3 linked regions of the Drosophila melanogaster genome follow. The protein of the gene in region 2 interacts with the protein of the main gene of each other region in a pairwise test. Each region holds a gene or a part of one and is shown on either strand. Other genes may lie near its edges.

Region 1 (8,004 bases), on a different chromosome or scaffold from region 2:
TAAATCGTACAAACATATATATATCTCAACAATTTTTTAAGGCTATGGTATTACAGCTCAGGTATAGCTACTAATAACTACTAATGAAATCAATAAAACAAGACTCCAAATAGCGGCTTTCAAATAAGTTTTTAAACTTTTCGCATGGCAAATCCTTGACGTCTTTAAATTAAAAGGACTCGTCTTTAAATTGCAAACCTTGTTTCCCCTACCTACTTACACTAAGTGTTCAATAATCGCTGCCAATTTCTCCAACTGCTGCGTAATTGTAGATTATTTCCTTAGTGACGCCAATGGCTCAGAAGGCATATATGCGAATATATATTTCCTCCATTCAGGTTCTTGTTAGAGAGTTTCCTACTCCCCCCCTGCTGTTATTCAACTTGCAATTTAAGCAATTTTAAGCAGCTTACAGCTTGAGCGCATTAGAACAATTAGCGCAGTCGATGCCACAGATATCGATGCCATGGAACAAAAAAAAAAAAAATTAAGCAGCATCCAATGCCAATAGAAATGATAGGTAGTCCTTGAAATGGAACTCAAAAGTATGGCAAGCTTAAATAGTTCAGAATCCGAGCTATAGCTTGTAATCAGCCAACCAAATGTATGCAAATTAAATTCCAAAAATTCCAGCGAAACTTTTTTGTCATTGGAAAAGTAGACTGCTTCATTGAAAATGTATTTTCCAGCAGGCGGAGTGGATTTTCGTTGCCTACCTTTAGGGCGACGCCTAGTAACGAAATGCGGGAAAATGCGATTATTAAGTGGGTGTGGAAACCGGAGTGGCATTTATTAATTTAAACACTTTGTTGTTACCCAGGAAGTTGTTGAATTTTAAACATTGGTATCGCATAATTTTCTTGTCATTTGTTTTGATTGGCCCATATTAAGTAGCTCCATTTTGTGTCATTGCTTGGCTGGCTAATTCAATCAATTAACTTTAGAGCGAAAAGTCCAGAAAATACAAGAAAATTCCCTCCTTACACACTATCGATTTTGCAATTTCAGAGAATCAAAACTGCACCCCACACATATGCGTACCGCATACACGTGGCATATTTCGCCTGTAATCAGAGACGCCACGGGGTTCCCACATTCATTTTTTGGCGCTTCGAAGGTGGAAGCCATAAAACCTTTACGGCATATGCCTAGATTTGCAAATTAAGGTGGGTTGGTCGACGAATCCCGACTGCCTGGCTGCCTGGCTGCCAAGCTGCCCGACTCGTGTGCACTCCAATTTCCTTTGAATGGGTGAGCAGCAACTCGAACGCTTTCCGCCTCCGATTTCAGCAACAATTTCTTTTGGTGTGATATTGGGTTAAGCAGCCTTAAAGAGGTTAAGGAAATCGTTTGAGGAACGACGGATCTGTTGGTGTTTTGGTTTCGGGTTTTCCTGGCTAATGGCCGGGAAAGTTGATGAATTCGCCGGGGCAACCTTGGGCGGCACTTAATGAAAGTGAAAGAAAGCCACCGTTTTCACTGGATTAACGTTTCTGTGAAATTAAGATTTACGGGAATTCAGCCAGGAAACTTGCGCATACCTTAAATCAAACTCGGTGTTAATTGCAAAAAGTCGCAAGAAATATTATTCCCCATTTGCGTTGCATGTTTTGAGCTAAATATATTCTCAAAAGCTCCTGTATAAAATTCAATGAATGAGGTAATTTACAAAAAAATAGAACGGCAAAAAAATATGAAATACAGTTGGATGAGAAAACCTAGTTAAATAAGATTTACCAACCATAAACTTTTACCGCAAACGGGAAAAGTGTTCAAGGTGAAGTCCGTAAATTTTGCCGGCAAACTTTAAAGCGATTCTGGAGCACTTTCGATGCGGCATGCATACGTCCAATAAACATCACCTGGCACTCCTTTAGACGGGCCCATAAAACGGCCAGAACTACCACACTAAATGATTTAAAACGAGCCACGGACTGCCGAGAACTGCTCTGCTCTCTCGGCCTGATTGAAATGAATTGGTGGAAAACCCTTAAACCGAATGAATTATGCAGAGGCCTGGCGTGGGGCTTAATAAACCAAACTTAACGAAAACTGTTTAAAATGCGAGCCGGCCATCTCGAATATTTCCAGCTCGGTGCAATAAATCTGGGGCCACAAACTGCACTCGATTGCCCTGCCACATGCAACGTTCCCGCTTTTCTCAGCCAAAACGTGTGCGCAATTTTCGCAATTTTCTAATAGCCGTTAAAGCTGTCGGTGGGAAGGGATCCATTCCTCGTTCTCCACCAGTAACATTAACAAAAACAAAAATAAAAAGGAAAACAGCAGCTTTTCACGTCCGATGATGCCCAGTTGCATGACTTCTTGTTTTTTGCTCGAACGGAAGTCCTTTCGACGCCATTTTGCGGTCGGCTATTGCAATTGAGTGCAGCCCCGACTTCATCAGCTTCCAGTTCCGTTCTCCTCAGCCCCAGGGATCCGGATCCCTCGAGGAGCTCAAGGATACGTGCCCGGGCACTCTGGCACGCACTTTAAGTTTCATTAAACAAAACCATCGCGCCTAGGCCTTCGAAGATTGCCTATAAATTCATGGAAGTCAGTGAAATGGAAAGCAAAATCTATGGCGGACGCAATTTGGTACAGTGTGCTGTCGGAAAACAAGATCGATACTAAAATTCCAAATGCTGATACAAATAAGAGTAACTAGAATAATGAATTTTTTTGTTACATTAAAAATGTTTTTTTTTCTTGTTCGTTAACTTTTAAGTCATCTTTCGAAGCTTCACTGTATTTCTCGCCGTTTTCCGACGCTGCTGACACAGCAGTGGAAATCCGTTTGCATTTCAGTGAGTCCAGGCTGTCGGGTGGGATTCCTATTGCCAGACCCACATTCCTTGGACGACCATTAAATCTGCAACAATTTACTTGTGATTGACATGTTTATAAGGGTCGTAACCCACAGAACCCCTTCCCTAGACCATTTTTCCAGGGAGTGACCCTTTTCTGGTGGAGATGTTTGTTTTTGTCCCCTTTCATAAACGAGTGAAGCCTAAAACGGTTCTGGACTGCTCCTTTTTTTCATTTATCACGCAAAGAGAAATAAATCTTTGATATTTGTGCTGTCAAGGAAGCATACTAAATATCCTTCTGCACTTTCCAGTACTTTTCCTTGGCGAGGCGGAAGATATTGAAGTGGACAACAATTCGTGGCATTGTCTGAAAACTCTCAGCACACACAATTAAAAGTTCCCACGTCAAGGGATACATGAATAAAACAACAAAACGAGTGCGTGAGGAAGAAAACATAACTGAATCGAACGGATAATACCCTAAAAAACAGAGACAGATATTAGTGAATTAATTAGGAATAAAAATCACAACTTATCAACTTTAGAACTCGTATTTGAATAAACTTTCCAAATGAACATCCATTTAATTGAATTCCCACATATAAAACTCTCTTGCCAAGTTCATCATACCCATAAAAGTAGAAAAGAAGTGGAAGCAATGAAAATAAAAAAAAGTGTTCCACAGAATCTTCGATATCTCCATTGGCGGACAAAACGCGTGTTTTGTTTTAATTTTGCACTTGGAAGAAGAAAAGAAATCCCAACCGGTTTTCAAAGGCGCCCCCCTAAAAAGGGCAAAACGTGCGGGTAATCATCAGCCAGCGCAGTAAAAAATGAAAATACGAAATACTACATACAGTTCACGATCAATTGAAATGCAACAAAAAACAGCTGACATGCAAGCAACTGCAACTCGAACGCACTTCGAGCCGCAACTCGAACCGAAAAACCAGGTTGGCACCGATCGTGGCTAAGATCGAAACAAAGTTTGGAAACTTTCAGTTGAGCGCGAGAATTCCACGCGGGCGGACGGGGCGGATGAACGATATCGGTGTCTTGTCGGTTTTATTCTGGTGTCGAAAAGAGCGATAAGAACTGAATTCGTTTCGAAATACTGAGAAGTAAGACACCAAAACGATAAGGAGTCGCCGCTCTGCATGTTAAAACCAAGTCGAGTTACTTCACATGGAACAACACGCAAAATGAACTAAAAACTCATTTCGAAACAGCTGAACACATTTGTCAGCTGGTTAAACAAATTTTGTGTGGAGAAATGCTAATGAGTTCCGTTGCTGTTGCCGCTGAACTTTTCAATTAATTTAACAGCCCATCGTCGTTGGCATAGATCTTATCGCCATATCATAAAACAAAAAAATAAAAGCCCAGCCGAGGAAAACAAAACCCAAAAAAGGTTCTCAAGAAAGTTTAACGAAATTGAAAGAAAACAACACAGCAGCTCAAACGGTTTTTGTTGCTGCCATCTATTTTGGAAGCGATTTTTTCTTTTTTTAGGCCGAAAGGTGCGCCCGATTCCAAAGATTCGAGGCATTACGAGCCCCGCGGGGTTCTCAATTTTCAGCTACCCTTTTCGTGAGTTTTTCGCTGAGCTCAGTGGGATATAAAAATATAGACATAACTCTGCTCATATTTGCAAGTATTTTTCGTACTGACATTTGAAACCAGAAATATGTATGCCCCATCCCAGAGTTGCTGCTGCAAGGTTGTTTTTTTTTTACCTGTCCTCTGCCATTAATTGAAATCCAATGCGGAAGGGGCGTAGTAAAGTGCATTGAGAAGGGGTTTTTGGAAGGGGGCCAACCGACCGCTAGGCTATGACAATTATTACAGCTTCCCAAAAGCGGCCAAAGAAACAGGTTGCTCTCGCTCCTGCCATCAAAAACTCGCAGTAAAGCCAAGTAGTGCAAATTGGTTAGCATAGAACATAGAACATAAAACATAAAAAAGGGGAAAGGAAGTTGGGCCTGCAGTACCGGGTTTTAAATACACTTTATAAGGCAGAAAATCAAAAATATACCATAATTTAAATAAGTGCCTGCTGCAAATGTCACTTTCTATAATAGCAAAGCTGGTCTTATATAACTAATCTAATCTATAATTTCTATCAAAACATATATATATCAAGACAAGAGTTAAGCAGATCTCCGAATACTCTTTGGTAGAGTAAAGAAAAAGCGGAGCAAGATGGGGCTGACTGAGAGACAGGAAAAGAGGCATCGACCACTTACGCATAACTGTAAGATAGACTGGCAGCAAACAGGATTTCTGGCACGTACTTCTGGCTCACAAGTGAAAGAATTACTTGGCTCTTTTCCTCCTCTATGTAGCATATATTGTACATACCATATAGCGTTTGGGTCTGCCGCGCCCCTTATCAACCGACAAATTAAGTTCAAACTGCTGCTGCTGGCCGGCATGGAAAAGAGCTAAAACTCCAATTTGTGTCAAAATACTCATGCGCAAAAATGGAATTTTTCCATTAGGCCAGAGAGACCCAAACTGAAAAAGCCAACAAAAAACTCCTAAACTAACATGAAAACAGTGAAAATCATGTGGAGAGACTAGCTAGGCACTGAGAGAAATTGAGTAGATCGTAAAAGTATTTTACAATAATGCCATTCGTAGTTAAATGAAGTAAGCGCTGGTTGCTTCGTTTAAATGGCCTGCAGCTATTTAAGCCAAACTATCGTTTTAAGGGTATGAGCATTTTCCTCAGTGTACCAGACTAAAGTAAAGTAAAGGCAACCAAAGTTTCAGGCTGCAACTTGTCAAACGTGTTCCCCAACAAAGTCTCGCGGCATTTGGAAATGTGCAGCATTGTGCAGCGGCAAGAAAAACAGCAGCAGCAGCCACAGAAACGAAAACAACTCGCATAACTGTGACTTGTATTAATTTTCAAGCTTTTCCAAACAGCCAACTGCAAACAAAAAGAAAATCCTAATACCGCGTTGTCTCAGCAGCAAAATGTTCGCGGCGACAAGAGGCTCAATTAGCATTTAGAAAAGCCGCATCGTCATCGCGATCCCATCATTAAACTCCCTATAGATGGAGGAGGACGTGCTGAACGCCCTGCAGACGCGGAGTGCCTACTTATCCGGCGGATTCGATCGCCAGAAGCGCATCGTCTTCGTTGTCAACGCATTCAACGATCTGCAGCTGTGGAATCGCCGCTATCTGCAGGTGACTCTGGACTATCTGAAGCGGTCTCTCAGGTGAGAATCGGGAATTAAGTGGTATTAGGCATTTGCCATTAGGCACAGAAACTTTAGAAACCGGCAGTGGAAATGCCGACGATTCATTAGCATATGGCCGAAATATGCAAATAGCCCGCAGATGATGAAGGTTCATTTTTTGTCGTCTTTAATGCATTACTTTTCATTAGACACGGCTCTCTGGGAGGGGTCTTAAAACGGGTCTCGAAAAGCGGAAAACACCTAACAAAATCTGGTTATTTATATGCTAAGTGTCAGATATTTAAAGCCAACTAAATAATTTAAAGTTTCTGAAGTCAGATGATTTGTCTTGAATGGAAAACATTGTTAATATCCACTTACATATATTACTTCAGAGTAACTTGATACAAAGTTCGGTCAGTTTAAGCACACTTTCATTTTATAAACACACTTTACAAGCAACATATGTAAAAATAGTAGTAGCAATAAATGTACCCTCTTAAAAACCTTAAGATAATTTATGAAAATTATATACCGTTCGTAACCTATTTAAACAACTACCTATGGGCTTTACGCCCTTCTTTTGTTATTTCCCATTTAAGTTTGTTTATTTATTGGCACAACAAGCAAATTGTTTAAGTTTACGAGGTAGGCATCAAACAATCTTTTAAATACAGGGAAGAAGCCACATGAATTATGGATATATTGATTGTGATCAATCAACTGGCAGTTCCCCTGAAAAAAGAGTGTCTGATTAAAGCCAAATCCTAACTGGCAAGCTAATGAAGCGCTTAAAGACGCTTTCCTCCAGTCCCAAACCGATTAACCAACTTGACATTAATCTCTTTCAGCGCTTCGGTGTTGCAGAATGGCGTGAGTGTGGTGGTCAATGCCCAGGAGAGCAGTTCGCGGATATCACGGCAGCAGGTGCGACAGATTTACGCCCTCTTCGGGGGCGACATCAATGTGGATCTGTATCTAGTCAGGGCGGAGGGCTTCTGGGAGAAGCATGTGGAGCCGTGCACCAAGTCCCAGGTCAAGGGAGAGGTAAGCTAATAGCTTAGGTTGGACACAACTCAAGAAGTGAATTAAAGATTTAAATAGCTTCCCATTAAATCGATTTAGTTCCTAATAAAATATATCATAACCATAAACTGCAACATAGTAATTAGAATTTCCACATTGAACTCATTAATTTCTCACTGTGCTCTCTTAATAGCCCCTGGTGCTGTCGAAGGCGAGGCTGTTCAAGTTCATAGAGCCGCAGAACCTGCCCGAGGAACTGGGCGGCACCTTGCAGTTCAACTACGATCTGTGGCTGCAGCAGCGCAAGGTAAGTGCCCCAATTTCTGTACCGTTCGAACGGCACATAATGGCTATATTTACGCAGTCCATCGACGAGTTCACCAAGTCGCATGTGCAGACTTTGGCTTCGATGGAGAAACTGTTGGCTCTTCTGCGGGAGCACAAGTCTCTGCGGCCGGCGGAAGCGGATGTGGAGCTGAAGAAGTGCGCCCAGATGCATGCCGGTGTGCAAAACGACATAGAGACCGCCATCGACTTGGGTGAGTCGAGTTCGTTGCTTGAGTCTTTTGTTTTTTTTGGTCTGTTCGCTAGTCGTTTTTTGTTTGCCCCGCGAGCAATTAACATAATTCGGTTTGCCCTCGAAGCAAACGAGTTAAGTGAGACAGACAGAGACGGAAAGAAAGACACACAACATGTGACAAGTAAATCATTGAATTTTGTGTGTGTTTTCAATTAGAAATGCGCCACGTTTGGCAAACTCGTTTTTCGCGCCGTTTGTTGTCGATTTTTATTGTGGGTTGATTTTAACGGCACTGAATAACATTGAGCTTGGATACTGAGGCCTACAGAAGGTCTTTTAGGTAGAAATGCGTCTTTTGATAAGATAATTTTAAAATCTACAGTTCCATACGATGTTGAATAGACTTGGCTATGATTTGACAATTGAGAATTGTTTGTGAAATTAGAAAGATTGATTG
Region 2 (7,801 bases):
CTGACTTTTCGTTCTTATTTTGTAAGTAGGAAATATTATAGTAGAAAAACGGCGCCAAAAGAAATGAAATCGCCTGAGAAAGTGGAGTGGGCGGATGTGGGGGCGTGGCGGCGGACAGCCTCAAAGCGAGCGAGCTGTAAAAAACGCCGTAAGTGTATTTTTATTGCGTATAAAATGCATTTTGCAATGCCACACAAAATTCAAGTGGTGTGCGTTCTGAGCGGAAGTTACGACCAGCGAGCTAGGACCACAGGCACACACACACACACACATACACAGACAGACACACAGGCGGTTTTGCGGCTGTGGTGGTGAGTGCTTATGTGTGCGCCACGAAATCTTGATGTCGGAAGTTATGGACTACGAAATTAAGGAAATCGCAGGAAATTTCTTACTCCAGCTATAGCATTTTTTAAATAATATTCATGTGGAGCAGGGCAATCAAGCGGAAGTAACATAAATGAAGAAATATATAAATATTTATTGTTATTAAAAATTTATTTAACACTGCGCAAGTAGAAAGTTATTAATCGTCTGAGTGAACTTGTACTGAAATGTGTAACTTTAATGATAATGATACAAATATTCAAACCTTCAAAACATAAGAAAACACCAGCCAAGCACTTAAGTGCGTAACAAATATTCAAGATGTACATTACTTACACTCAAGTCCCCAGCAGAACTTAATCATACTTTCCCCAAAGCAAACTGCTTCAGCCAGTGCAAATACCCCAGTCAAGAAAACAAACGAGTTGGCAAGCAATGATTGCTCAGCATTGCTACTTGTTGTTAAATATGTTGCACAAACAAACAACATTCATTACCCCGGCAAGTGGGTTTGTGCGTAGGGAGTGGGGCAGAAATGAAGGATCGCTACGTGAACGCTGGGAAATTGGCTGCGCAGCGTAAAAATCGGATGGTATTGCCAAAAGGTTAAAGCTAAACGCGGGACACGAAGTCTGAAAGGTTGCGGTGATGGAGTCGCGATTTACACCTTGTTTAAGTTCAATGTTTACTCAAACGAGGGTTACCCAGTGCGTATGCGTGATAAATATGCTAATGCTTATCCTTTGGGCGTGCTTAATGTCGATCATGTTCAATGAATAAAAACAAATGGCTATCCATTTGGTATGATTTACGGAATACGCATTTCTCTTGGAGTAATCAATGAATATTAAACAATCCCCTTCGTTTAATACTCATCTACTTGTATTGATTTGACAAAATACGAAATATGTATTAACGTGAAATGTATAATCCATATATATATATATTGGGTCGGATAATAATAATAAAACTCTACTGAGCGCACCGCTGTGTCGGAGCAGTAAGCATTACATTTAACCGAGTGTGTGGTCCAAATCCCATTGAGCCACTGGTTACACAGTGCGTATGGGTAATATAAATCCATTGCTTTACGATGTGGGCAGCCTGCGACTTTAAGTTATGCATAAGTTTGTCCCTTTTATGTCTTTTTCCGACACTCTTTTCGAGCACTATTAATTATAATTTTTTCTGCCGGCTATTCTGGCAACATATGTATGTATGGGCACGGACAGGGGTGTCGGCCAAACATTTTTAAAATTATACGTATCAAAAAGAGAGGGAGCGAGCAGACACGGACACGGATACGGACACGCTCACATGTGCCGGAAATTGGCGCACACCTTGCAGCCATGCAGTGGCAGGAATTTTTTCCATAAGCATCATAAAACCAGGACTGACCGGACGATGGTCAGGCCATTGGGTATATGGAATGGCGGCGTAAACGGGGCTGGGGCGGCTCAGCATGCGGAAATTATAATTTATAGCTGTGAGCTGCGGATGCCAGAGCTTCACAGTGATTTTTTTTACCCTTAGCCCTTGCGAGGGCTTTCTTCCCGGAACCGACTTTAAAATCGCTGGAACTTTGGCATTAATTGAAGTTGGCCATCGAGGTTGAAAGCCCACTCGAGCATGAATTAGCGTCTATGGGATGACAGTTTCCAAGTGTTGGGGGCGCCGAAAAGGACGCAAGGATGTTCTTCAGTTTTTAATTTAATATCGGGTGATGCGTGAATTGGAGCGGAAAATATTCCTAGTTTGCTTAGCCTGAGCTAAATTCTTGCAAAATGATTAAATCCCTGTATCCTTGTGTCTAATGCCTGTAAATTGATAAGTCACATTGAAAACAAATATTTGATTTAATGACAGGCCTGAATGCATTCACAGCTCCGATTTCAAATTGTGAAACCTTTGCAAATTACCCTCGGCTGACCAGTTATTCATGGTTGTTTATTTTTTGTGGCCTATGCGAAAACCAAACAATAAATCGAAACTCTATTTGATTAATTTTAAAGAAGAAACTCAGCCAAGGGCATAACTGAATTAAAGAGCAAATTCACATGGCGTTTCTGGTCATTGTTCACTGCGTAAACATTTGTAAATTTGCTCTTTTTCAGGTGTATACACGGTGCAAACAAAACTCGACTGAACGGCTAAAAAATGGTCATAAAATAGCATTTGACAAATGACGCACTTCCTGTCAACGCACACAATCACAAACGCATACAATCACACACGCACACATTTATCCCTTATCGGTAACTTGTAAAAAGAGGTCGAAACAATTGCATTGCTTTTAAACATGAATCTGCTCACATAGTTACACAGTTTAACAATATAATAATTCATTGTTTGAATTTATTTATGAGCGCAGCTCAAATATTTAATATGCACAAACGGCAGTTTGTTTAAATGTAATTTAGTGGAATAATTAAACAAATGCGGATTTTATTCAAAACTATTTAGTTGCTGTCCGATTGACTAACCTTTTTGTAAACGAGATCCTATTAAAATTTAACAAGTAATCATAAAATACATTTTCTTACAGTTCTTACGCCAGCCATCCAATTTGTTAGCTCACTAACTTTGCAGCGAAATTATAAAAAAGGCTTTAATTGCATAATTAAATTTATTGGCTGTACAATTTTCCATAAGGTAATTTTATCAGTTTTGCAGAGAATAATTGCAAAATTAAATGAGCTAATTAAACCATTTCCAAGTGGAATAAAAAGGCTCATTTACTTTGCAATTGGATCAGTTTTAGCAACCCAGACTTAAATCCGTTTTCAACAGATACTCGACGCGACGTTTTTCCTTAGGAGGCAGTTGAAAGAATTTTGAGACAAAGTTATTCAGTTCCCTCTTTGTATGCAGTGGGGGCCACATTGTTTTATAGCACAGGATTCTAGAAAAGCCACGAAAGTCCCGGTTAATTTATGTTATCATTTCTAACTTTTAGCTTACTTCTTCAGGAAAAACTGGTCGCAGATATTGCGTTGATTGGCAATAATGTGCTCCATTTCGTGAAGGAACTGCCTATCATATTTCGCTTTGGAGTCCAGATACCGCACATAGCAATTAAGATCGCTGGAAATAATGGTGTGTCAGGAAACCTAAGTAACTCAGCAAGTTCTTTCTTAACTGACTACTGAAAGTGCTTTATATCGTAGCTGGGATGCAAACTGGCATCGGCCTCGTCGTGGAACTTGATCCTTGGCTCATACCACTCGTCGAGCTCCTGGAGACGATGGAACTCATATCGGGAAGCAAGTCCTGACAAGGAAACCAACGAAGTGGTCTTCGTCCTAGTCAGGAATTCCTCCACTTTCTTAGCCTTCTCCTGGGCCTTGGCCACAAACTTCGCGTTGAGGCGGTGAACTGGTACATTTTTACCCCGCAGGACATCTCCCGCTGAGGGGATCGACTTAATGGTTACAAGGCTCGTCGCGGACATGTTGAAAATTTGATACTGCTCTTGGGAAACTGGAGATTTTTGAGATATATTAAATGGCTTATTTATGCGGTGACTACTTTGATTCGACAATTAACGCTTTAATAAATACGCCACATAGTTGTCACCGTCAACAACATCTGAGTCCTTGGGGAATTATTGTTTTAAGCCGCTGGTGTTTATAAATATACATGGAAACAGCCGAGAACATCATGAGGATTCATCAGACGATATATGGAAAGGGGTCAGGCTGCTGTATTTTATTTACACGGCCATTCACATTGGCATTTCAAAAATCATTCATTAATTTTTTAATTCAACAATCAGGCTGGTTCAAAGTGGCGTGGAATAAAAACCAAAAAAGGAATCTCTGTAATAATATCACATGCAATTATTGCAGGCAATATGCATGCAATTATGCTAAAGGATATCCATTGTAAAAAAAACTTTGCAAGTGAGCCCGAAATAGAGTTGCGAACTCGAAAGTTCTCAATGCGATTGGATAGCCTTTGTAATTATGATGTCCCTAAAAAAATGAAAAACTAACAGGGCCCTGTTCGAACTTTCATTGACTTATTTGTACCCTTAATAATGGTCCCTCCTAATAATCTATGAGGAGTAGTGCGACTGCTAATCTACCCACATTTGCACCCATTATCCAGGTGTGGTCGAAAATTATTCTCAAAAAGATTCCACACATTTTCGCGCCATTAAACATGCATTCGCGCATTTAATTTCATTTTTTGAACCGCCCGAGTTGACGGAACAGAGCCATCAGCCGGACCACAAGAGTGGCCCACTGAAGGGGGAATAGGAGCTGCCGCCGACAGGAGAGTTGGCCAATGTTTGCACAGCAAAAACATGGCCCAAAACGCTGGGTCTATTAAGAGCACATTTGACCAAAGTCGGGGCTCCGGCACGTGTGCAATGAAAACAAACGAGCCCATTATTGTTACACTTTTCTTTGGCAACCGGCCGCAGAGACCATTAATGATGTGTTATGGCCTCAAGAGGCCGGCCTAGCCGATCCTTGAACTTTGGCCAGGCAGAGCCTGTGAATTGAACTCTAATTGCAGATAATGAATTGCTCGCATTAGGTCAACGAACAGTCGTCCGGATTGCCGCAAAGTGCCTAATGGAAATGCAATGAACTATTTATGGGCATAAGTAGCCAGCAATTGGCTGACTGAAGTTTGATCACGCACTGGGATTATTAATGCCGAGACAGGTCGACTTCCCTTTAAAGTGCTCATCTCATCAATTTGTGGATGTTTTCCCTTGGCCTTTTGGCCAACCGTCATTTTGGTCGCCACAAAATTGACAGCAGCTTTCCCACAGCGCGTAATGACAAAACAGTGACTAAAATGTTAACAACAAATCCAATTTATTTCACCGACCGGCCTACGAGGGACATTAATTACCAGATGGATCACGTATAAGGTATTAAATGCAAACTCAATCTGCCAATGGGGAAATGGCCAAATAACAGAGTGGTTGGTCAAATCTGGGCACACAAACTAACACAATCTGCTACTAATTCCCACAAACTGCATTTAAAGATAGCGGATTTCATTTAATAGAATGTGTTCACCGCCATTGATAATATTAATATAAATATAAATATAAACGTCATTCAGAAAAAGCGTTAAACAATAAACAATAAACATTGACAATGGTCGATGGTCAACGAGAGTGTAAACAACAAGATTTACTGCCATATGCTAGGGGATTACGGGTGTAATTGTACGCCACTTCGAAATGACATTGAACCAGACATGAAAATTGATTTTGGGCCTGATGCCGAGTCCATTACGGAAATAAGTTTGCTGAGCACTCGGACCATATTTTCAAAAACATTTGTTTATTGGGCAATTATTTTACTGGGTTGCCGGCGGACTTCGCCCCGGCAGAATGAAACAATTTCACTTATGCACAAGTATTTCATATTGTCACAAATTCATTTTCATTTCAAGCCCTCGCTCCAGTGTCCCCAAAATTCAGCAATCCAGACATAATCTCTGTCAAGCCCACACACATTTTTGCACAGATGTTTGAGCAACTCAACTGAGACTTTAGAGACTTTGCTGCTTCCTTCATTGTTAGTGGGTCCATGGTCAAGTTTTAATTTATTTGATGACTGCGAAATTGTGCACCTTCTTCTCCAGTGGAGGAAGTCCCAGGATGACTTCTGTATAGTTTTGCAGGCAATTAATTTCAGCCATGGCTCCGAGCATTATTCTCCTCGAGGACGACATATTTTAATTTGATGAAGACCTAATAGGGTTTCGAGCATATGTTTCACTGCAAAACTTGTGAGAGGGAAAAACTTTCAATGCAAATGAGTTGGCATATGGCTCAACTGTCACGACAACTATATACGACAATGGCGTTTCGGATGAGGATTTCTATAAGCCGAAGATTTCGCCGCTATGAGTTCTAAGGAATCGGCTGGAATTGGGTCGAAAACATTCGTTGGAACACCGCCCCACATTCCACTGAGTCATCAGGTTAATTCAATTTGAGTTGTAAGCAAATTTTGCACAAATGAAATGCACAAACTTTTGCCATTGACAGACACACACGCCAACCAAGAGCAATAAATTTCCAAAGTGTTTATGTAAACGACCCGATTGCTGTGCAGAAACAGAAAATGAAAGCCGTCGTCTGGCTGCACTTTGTCACCAGGCATGCGGAACATAATGCCGATTTTTTCGCCTGGAAAATGGCTGGGCGATAATAAATCTTCCGCTTGGAACAAATCACAGCAATTCCATTATGTACACATTTAATGATGTTGCCAGCCAAAGCCGCCAAATCCGCATCCAAATCCAAAGCAACGAGCCAGAGACAATTACTTGCAGCCCGCGAGCATTTTCTACGACTTATGCAGAGAGAAAAAAGTTTGTCTACTTAAATTGGAAATACGAAGTAATCCTTCCGGGATTAAAAAAAAACCTCAAACTGAAAAACTGAGAAACTGAGAAACAAAGCAGGAATAGAAATTTATAAAATGTTTGTATGTAGGTAGCTAAGGTGACTTAACAAAGTACATTACTAAACTTTAATTGACTTAATAGACTAATAGACTACGAGTAAAAAAGAGTCCCTGGAGACAAAATGCTCGGTTAAAAATATTTACTACATTTTTTCCAAGTGTCCATGGTGCAAATGGTTCTTAGGTTCCTTAGTGAGTGCAGCAACATGGCCAAGTTGTTAAAATAATCACAAGAAATGGCCGACCAGTTCGGAAATTTTCCCCTGGGCAGAATAGGAGAAGCATAAGGGGTTGGCCCACTGAGGCAAAGACAAAGTTGCAGAGCAGCCCTGCTATTGCGATTATTTTTAATTAGCAAAATTTCTTTATGCATTGACAGTGGCAGAAGGGTAACGGCAAAGTCTTTCATTAATTAGAGCCACTCGCAAAGTATGCAGCTTTTTGTTGTCTTAATAATCCTGCAACACTGAAAAGGCGAAAACGGGGAGCTACACCCACATGTGGGCACCAAACTTTCACACCTGCCAAGCCTCAACGTCATCTCCTCTGCTTTATACTTACCCATAAATCTGCCACGAAATAGAACAGCCGGCAAAAAGGCAAAAAGGACGGCGACGGAGTTTTCCCCCGGGAAAAATATTTCCACTGAAGCTGCTTATTAGCTTTGACATTCGAGTGCGATGCACTCTGGACGAAAGGTGTTTCGCTTGATGTTTTGCAATCTACTTTTTATCATCCACATATACATCATTTTTTAGGGGCCGCATAAAACATAACGCAGAGTGTGATGGGGACAGCATAATTTATCACTCGCTACCATGCAATTTTTAAAGTTTTCTGCCAAGGGTAATTTTGTAATAGCAGCTCGCAGAAGAACATGTGGAACATGTCGTGAATATTTGCAACGCAAGGAAACATCATAATGTCTTGATAATATAATTGTATCATTAAAAAAGCAAAAAGTTATGTATTGTTTTAATTTATTTTGTTTTTATGTGGGATTAAACATACCTTTCAATCGTTATTCAAAA
Region 3 (8,004 bases), on a different chromosome or scaffold from region 2:
GGAAGCAGTACTGTTCTCTACCCACTAAAATGTAATTTTTTAATTTTTTTTTAAATTTATTGCCCTTTTAAATGTACGAATTAACTTAAACAAATACACTTTTTAAAAAATATTTGATCATTTCATTACTTTTACATTGGGCAAAACCAGACACTACTATTCTTATGAACAGCCTAAAAGTTGTAAATTTGCTCAAGAATGTAAATAAAGAAGGATAACATGAAAAACTAACGGGATTTTCTTGTTTTTCCTATCTACACATTACATTTAACAAAAATAAGTGGAATAAAAAGTCGATCCCGTTACGTAATTGAGTAAAAAAAGTACTTTTGAACTTCAGTAATTAATTTCCTTTGGAACGATCTTTTTAAGTTTGTTTCTAAACCAAGGTTCGCGTCTGCACTAAACGTTCCTTACGTTTTTACATACCAAAATGACTTATCCATAAAGTGCTATAATATTCATTAAAAAAAACGTGACCGTTGGTATTTAAAATGTATGTCGGTATTATTTAACCTTTCAGAGAGTTCCACTATTTTACTAAACAGCTTGGCACTAACTGAAGAGAGCATGATTGCTTCTGGTCTATAGCATTGTTCTCCTGCAATCGGGCCCAATTCGATTAACATTCATAAGAGCTTTGGGTAAGATATGCAAATCTTATTTATTTTTATTCAATTTTATGAAAATATATTTAAAAAGGGTATTTAAAATTCACTACTTAAAAATTTATTTCTGTTTTCAAACTATGGTATTTATTAATAGACCGGTCGGTATTTTCCATTGTTTTCGACGCGGTCACACTTAGTAATAAGAAATTTCTTACGCTTATTATTTCACCATTTCATTTGCGAAATCCGAGAGAAATTCAAAAGAAACCGGGTGTGCGTGGCGGCGAATTTCGGTGTCAGTTCGAAAAATCCATTATTTCCGTACCAAAATTGTGTCAGTGTGAGAGGCTTGGAGGCGGTGGCCACGCAATCCGGGCGACCGATCGTTGGGTAACCTAGCGCGAGAACCGAAAAACCGCCGTAGTCATGGCGTTCCGGCTGCTTGGCACGGCCAAAACGATGGCCGGAATGATGCGGCGCAACTACACGGCGGGTTCCTTGCCGGGAAAGGTGCCCACATCCCTCACTTACAAGGCTAGCCAAGTTTTTAATGCCCCCTCCTTTTTTTTTTGCAGGGACAACGCACACACATGGGTGCCACGGGCGCCGGGGTTTACATCCTGCCCACGGAGCTGTCGCCCCTGCTGCGCTACGTGGTCAAACAGATCCAGCTGCTGTGCAAAAAGCCGCCGAAGGGATTTGAAAAGTATTTCGAAGCCGGCGGCAAGTCGTCTGGCCAACCGAAGGGATCCGTCGGCGATAAGAAGCCACCCGCGGGTTCCAGCAAATCCGCCTCGGAGAAGCCCAGCACATCGACACCCGCCTCAGTTAAACCCAGCAGATCCCAAACAGACGCGAAATCGGACTGGAACTTCGGCATGTTCAGCAACAGCTCGAGGGGGCCAGCAGGAAAAGGAGGCAACTCGCTGGGCGGACGACCTCTGGGCGAGAACGGTGGCGGCGGGGACAGGGAGCGGTGGATCCTTCTGGGTGCCATCGGAGCCGTCGTCCTGGTGGGTTCGTTCGCCTTCTTCGAGATGGGCTACAAGGAGATCTCGTGGAAGGAGTTCGTCAACAGGTGAGTTCTAGCATTGCGTGTTGCATAAGAGTTCGATCAAAACATGTGAAACTAGAAGCTGTGGAATATATACATAATTCCATGGATCTAGATCTTTCGCCTGTTGTGATACGACTGCAATTCTCACTATTATATTTATCTCTATTTCCCAAAAACAGCTACCTGTCGAAGGGCGTCGTGGAGAAGCTGGAGGTGGTTAACAAGAAGTGGGTGAGAGTGCGTCTGCAGCAGAACAGCAACAGCGGCAGCGGCGTCTTGTGGTTCAACATCGGCAGTGTCGATAGCTTCGAGCGAAACCTGGAGGCAGCCCAGACGGAGCAGGGAACGGAATCCATCAACTTTGTGCCCGTAATCTACCGCAACGAGGTGGAGGCCGCCAGTCTGACGGGTCTGCTGCCCACGTTGCTCATCATAGGCTTTCTGGTCTATATGATGCGGAAGTCGGCCGATATGATGGGTGGAGGCCGTGGGCGCAAGGGTGGTGGTCTTTTTGGTGGCGTCATGCAGTCCACCGCAAAGCTAACCAATCCCAATGAGATTGGTGTGGGTTTCAAGTAAGTTGGCGAGACTTCACAGTACATACCTAATACCTTTTATATTCTTTACAGGGATGTTGCCGGTTGCGAGGAGGCCAAAATCGAAATCATGGAGTTCGTTAACTTCCTGAAGAACCCGCAGCAGTATATTGATTTAGGCGCCAAGATACCGAAGGGTGCCATGCTAACTGGCCCACCCGGAACGGGTAAAACGCTACTGGCCAAGGCTACCGCCGGCGAGGCGAATGTACCGTTTATTACCGTGTCGGGATCCGAGTTCCTCGAGATGTTTGTGGGCGTGGGACCTTCTCGTGTCCGCGACATGTTCGCCATGGCCCGAAAGCATGCTCCCTGCATCCTCTTCATCGACGAAATCGATGCTGTGGGTCGCAAACGTGGTGGCAAGACCTTCGGTGGCCACTCGGAGCAAGAGAATACCCTTAACCAGCTTCTGGTGGAAATGGATGGCTTCAATACCACTACGAATGTGGTCGTACTGGCCGCCACTAATCGTGTTGATATTCTGGACAAGGCTCTCATGCGACCAGGTCGTTTCGATCGACAGATTTATGTACCAGCACCTGATATTAAGGGCAGGGCGAGCATCTTTAAGGTGCATCTGGGTAACCTGAAAACGTCGCTGGACAAGAACGAGCTGAGCAGAAAAATGGCTGCACTGACACCAGGCTTCACAGGCGCTGACATCGCGAATGTTTGCAACGAAGCTGCTTTGATTGCCGCCCGCGACTCCAAGGATTCGATCGTACTCAAGCACTTCGAGCAGGCCATTGAGCGTGTTATCGCTGGCATGGAGAAGAAGACCAATGTTCTGGCGCCGGAGGAAAAGCGAACGGTGGCACACCACGAGGCTGGCCATGCGGTGGCCGGTTGGTTCCTGGAGCACGCAGATCCCCTGCTGAAGGTCTCGATTATACCACGCGGCAAGGGTCTGGGCTACGCCCAGTATCTGCCCAAGGATCACTACTTGCTGTCCAAGGAGCAGTTGTTCGATCGCATGTGCATGACGCTCGGCGGACGTGTGGCCGAAGAGCTGTTCTTTAATCGCATTACCACTGGTGCTCAGGATGATCTAAAGAAGATCACCGATATTGCCTACTCCCAGGTGGTGCGTTTCGGCATGAACGAGAAGGTCGGGCAGGTCAGCTTCGATGTGGGCCAGGCCGGTGATCCCGTTTTCAGCAAACCATACTCGGAGGACACAGCGCAGCTGATCGACAACGAGGTGAGGTCGATTATCAAATGTGCCCACGAGGCCACCACTAGTCTGCTGACCAAGCACAAGGAGAATGTTCAAAAAGTGGCGGAAAGACTGCTCCAAAACGAAGTGCTCAGCCGTGATGATATGATTGAGCTGCTGGGCCCACGACCCTTCAAAGAGAAGTCAACCTACGAGGAGTTCGTCGAGGGTACCGGCTCCTTCGAGGAGGACACCACTCTGCCCGAAGGCCTCAAGAGCTGGAACAAGGAAAAGGAACGAACGGAGCCTCTGGACGCTGGCAGCACGCCATCATCGCCGCCCACCAAGCCCGTAACTGCCCAGAGCAGTTAGGCAACGATCTTCGCTCATGTGGATGGGGAGTTTTGGTGTGGTAGTTCGAGGGTGCCGACATCTGTTTGTTTTTGTTGTAATCCCTAAACGCGGACCGGAGAAAACCCCGACATGTGGCAGATCGAGAAGGCAGGGCTCAAGGAGTTCCTAGACCTTCTGGAGTTACAGTTCTCCACGACGCGTTCATTATTGTTTTTGCATAATTTTAAGATACCCACATGGATAACTTGTTCCCGTGTTGAGCAATTAAGTGCTAGCCTGTACTAAATTCCCCGTATGCGTAGTTTCAAAATGGCAATAAAGAATGGAAATGACCTGTCAGTGTGGAAAAGCGAAATTAAACGATGTTATCAAGGCGAAAAATAATCGAATCAGTGTTGTTACTGCCTTACGGTTTAAACCCGTTTTCGAAAACAGCAAAAGTTGCAAAATACATACAATGTATTGCTTCATTATGTATATTTCATACAATAAAATGTTATGATAACATTGGAATGCAAAATTTGTTCTTAACTTTGGGATAGCCAGCTTTATTCTTAAGTTGACTGATAGTGCCAGGTTAAAATTTTTTTCAGTGTGAGCTTTTAAAGCTGCACGCGGTTTAAGAGAGTGCCGCTCTCTTCGGTAAGCTTTCTCCGCAAACTTTCGCCGGCTACTCTTCCTCGCTGCGGCTTATCACTTATCAGCTGTGATGCTGAAGTACATGCGCCATGTGCAGCCGGTAAATAGTGCAACTGCCGCAGTCGGCGCCTCTGCCGGTGCAAAGCTCCGTAGGGGCAGCACCAGCGGCAACAACAACAGCAGCAACAGCAGCGAAGGCAGAGAGTGCAGCAGTGCAGTCGACGTCGCTGCCGCCGGTCGTTTTGGGGCCGTCAGTTGGGTTTTGGGGTCTCGCCGCTCAGTGTCGTCTTGTTGGTTGTCGCGTTCGTGTGCGCGCACTGAGAAAAGCGGAACGCCAGCGTTGCACTAACCGTTGCAGTTTCTATATTACTCTCGAGTCGCCCGATTTCAGAGCTGTTCGTACCGCTCGTGGGAGTGCGTGCGTTTTAACCAAAACAACTACCAAATCGCGTACAAGATACCAAACCAATATAACCGAGAGGCCCGAAAGGAAAACCCCTGCTGTGGAGGGCATTTTGCATTTTGTTTACCTCGATGGCTGTGTGGAGTGCAATTTGACGATTATATAATATAAAATACAAAATACAAAAAATAGGGAAAACGAGTAACAGTGCGCGGCATTCGATTTTAATTGCAATCAACTACAATAACCGCTGAAGTAGAGGAGTTAAAGCGCAAACCTCTCCCTCGCACCCCCGCCCTCCCTCTCACTCACACTCACTAACACATTGCGTTTGTGTTGATCTTTCCTGCAAAATGGCTGCCGGCCGGCAAAATAACGGCAACATCCATACTTGATCGATAGAAAGAGAGCGGCAGAGAATCCCTAGCGATTTCATGTTTGATTTATTGGATTTTATTTTTCCTGAGACTTTCCTTTAGGCTTCTTGTTTGATTTCTTAGAAAATTAAAATTATGTATTTATGACAAATGGTGACCATTAGGATGAACAGAACAAGGAGGAGAATTTAATGCTAATGTTTATTTATTTTGTCAAGAAAATTATATTTAAATTTGTTTTGCCATTTGCATTTATTCTGCTTTAAGATAGGAAGCAAAATATCTCTTATCAATTAGTGTAAAATCAATCAACAAACACGTGTATTACATAAAATTTAAATTTGATTAATATTTTCGTTCCTTTTATTAGAGATCTTCGTTGTGATCACTTTTATAAAATGGCTGACATCGGTAACGGTAACTTCGATTACTGATCAATCGAGCGCCCCCTGTCGGCGATTCTCTTAGCTCTGTTTTAGTTTATCGTTTATTTTGTTTTATTTTGTGCTGCCAATTGTCGCAATTGCAATTGTCGGGTCACGTGTTTGTTGCTGCCGCCAGTTAACTTCTGCTCTCGTTGTAACGGTGCATGTTCCCTGTGCGGGTGTGTGTGTGCTGATGTACGATTGTGTGTGTGCGTGTCTGTTCGTGAAAGCTTGCATGCTGCGCGTTATTATATTGTTGCTGGCGTTGTTGTAATTTTTGTTGAGGGAGTCACTGCATGCAATGTTCTTCTTGCCCTTTCGCACCTCCCTATCTATCTATCTCTGTCTTTTTCTATTATTTGTTGTTGCTTTTACTGCTGTTGTGGGTGTGGGAAAAATCAAGGCGCGTATTAAGCACAGAAAATGCAAAAAAGAACACACACAAAATATAGGAAAGCGAATAATTTCGGAGAGAAAGCAACGGAAAATAATTGCTTTAACAAGCAAAAGTTCAAAGCTATAAAATTTGGATGCCAGCATTTTTGAATTTCCGAAAAATTGTTCGGGAAACCAAGGTGTTTCTGGCGTAAAAAAAAGTGTCACTTAAAACCTTTTTAATGTTAAAAATCGTTCAGATTATTTAACAACGATGGGAATTTATGAAATTAGTAGAGAGCTTTTTACTAAATATTTGGAATTTTATAATTATTACACAAGCTCACAATAAGTAAACACGTATACTTATAATTTTTGAAAAACATTTGGATCTTTAACCTTTTATATTTAGTTTTCTTAATTTTTTATGAGACGCCTATTCTAAGAAAATTAATTTGATGGCTCATGCCATATGTGTAAAGTGAGTCAAATTTATTTCAAACAAAGATCTTTTACAGTCTTAGTACCGCATCCCAATTGTCACTCAGCCGTTACTTAACCGCCCCCCTTTTCCCACCCGTTCCTCACCTGGCTTTTCCACGGTTTTCCTCCCTCTCTCTCTCTATCGCTCCCACATCGGTTGCACTTTTTTGCATTTTACGATTGTTCGTTGCGAATCATTGCATTTTAGGGGGTGGGTGGGGGTGGTGCAGCAGCTGCGGATGGGTGGGAAAGCGAGGAGTGGCGAGGGGGAGCGAGTGAAGGGGAAAATTGCATTTTCAAAAGTTTCCCTGGGCAAAGTTTAAAATTGCAATTTAATTAATTTTCACCAAACACAACGAAACAGATCTTTTGCAGTAATATGTTGCCTTCAAATCAATTGGGAAACCAACAACCAAAGTTAACGCAACGTTTCTAAAACTTAAAGTCTAAACAACAAACGAAATAATAGTTACGAAATACACAATAATATTTAAACCAAACCAAAAGTGGCCTGCAAAACGAAGCAACCAAAACAACCAAAACAACCAAGAAATGTGATTCAATGTGTGCAATGTAACCAAATTATAATTAACAAGCTAAATAAAACGATAACTAGAGCAGGAGAAAAGCCGTGGAAAATCAGCGGGAAAGCCAACCAAAGCCAGGCCAAATGGAAAACAAGGAATCCGGCAGCCAATCGAACAGCCAACTAGCAGCCATCGTGGCCAATGATTAAGGGAACACTCTGTTAGCCAACTCGTAGTAGCAGCATCCCCCGTCCACACATAACACCCAGTAACACAGCCACTCAGCCGCACAGAACCACTCGACCTCCCCTCGCATCTCGATGCTCGCACAGAAGGCGTTGGAGCAACAATTATAGAATAGACAGCCAGACGACCACATCAGCTCAGCTCAGCCCCAACTGCAAACTCCAATCACCAGCTCCAGCTCCAACTCAATCTCAATCCCGAGCCAAAACCCCCAACATGGACATCAAGATTGAGCAGCAGCAGCAGCAACAGCAAGTGGAGCTGGGACCCTGTTCCCCCTCGGAGGTGCCCAATGATCCCGGGTAAGTGTGCTGCTCTTATATGTACATGTATACCCTAGCGAAAGGGTATCTCAGAAAGTAGAGAATATATTTTAATCAACTTGAGAAGAAAAAGATTTACTTCGATTTATTTATATTACTTTCGCTCTACAAGCACTAAAAATCACCATCCTTAAAAGGATGTGCGAAATTTATATTTCAGTTCTGTAAATCATAATTAAAATATATTTTCCTAAGACCCTAACTTAGATTTTTCGAGAAAAGGGCATTCAAACTTCGCATTGTCGAGTTGGACGAGAACTTTTTTATTTAGTTTGAGGTCATGGACGTGGCATTAATTGTTTAAGTTTTAAGTTTGTCATTATTGAAGCGCAGGGCGCCGGAAGCGAATGGAGCGTGTCCTGGGGAGCGGTGTCAAGGCAGTTATAGTTGTTGACAGAAAGTTTTCTATGTCAACTGGGTCCGGAACTG

What was found.
Region 1: the proteins of CG11286 (region 2) and CG15822 interact in a two-hybrid assay, tested with the Drosophila melanogaster proteins (one large-scale study listed by BioGRID).
Region 3: the proteins of CG11286 (region 2) and Rbp6 interact in a two-hybrid assay, tested with the Drosophila melanogaster proteins (one large-scale study listed by BioGRID).

The regions. Positions count from the first base shown.
Region 1 is NT_037436.4:2,159,667-2,167,670, reverse strand, and holds the start of CG15822 (uncharacterized protein), read left to right. Parts: upstream 1-3,807; 5' UTR 3,808-3,931; exon of another isoform or gene 3,932-3,980; intron 3,981-5,741; 5' UTR 5,742-5,873; coding exon 5,874-6,040; intron 6,041-6,852; coding exon 6,853-7,048; intron 7,049-7,220; coding exon 7,221-7,334; intron 7,335-7,391; coding exon 7,392-7,566; intron 7,567-8,004.
Region 2 is NT_033777.3:7,767,923-7,775,723, forward strand, and holds CG11286 (uncharacterized protein), read right to left. Parts: upstream 3,835-7,801; 5' UTR 3,779-3,834; coding exon 3,471-3,778; coding exon of another isoform or gene 3,470-3,470; exon of another isoform or gene 3,412-3,469; coding exon 3,289-3,411; intron 3,230-3,288; coding exon 3,085-3,229; 3' UTR 2,938-3,084; downstream 1-2,937.
Region 3 is NT_037436.4:17,234,902-17,242,905, reverse strand, and holds the start of Rbp6 (RNA-binding protein 6), read left to right. Parts: upstream 1-4,693; 5' UTR 4,694-5,074; intron 5,075-6,843; 5' UTR 6,844-7,468; coding exon 7,469-7,554; intron 7,555-8,004. Other genes in the region: Afg3l2 (AFG3 like matrix AAA peptidase subunit 2), read left to right, coding at 1,038-1,121, 1,187-1,689, 1,848-2,243, 2,298-3,795. UniProt on the Drosophila melanogaster protein: RNA binding protein that regulates the expression of target mRNAs at the translation level. May play a role in the proliferation and maintenance of stem cells in the central nervous system.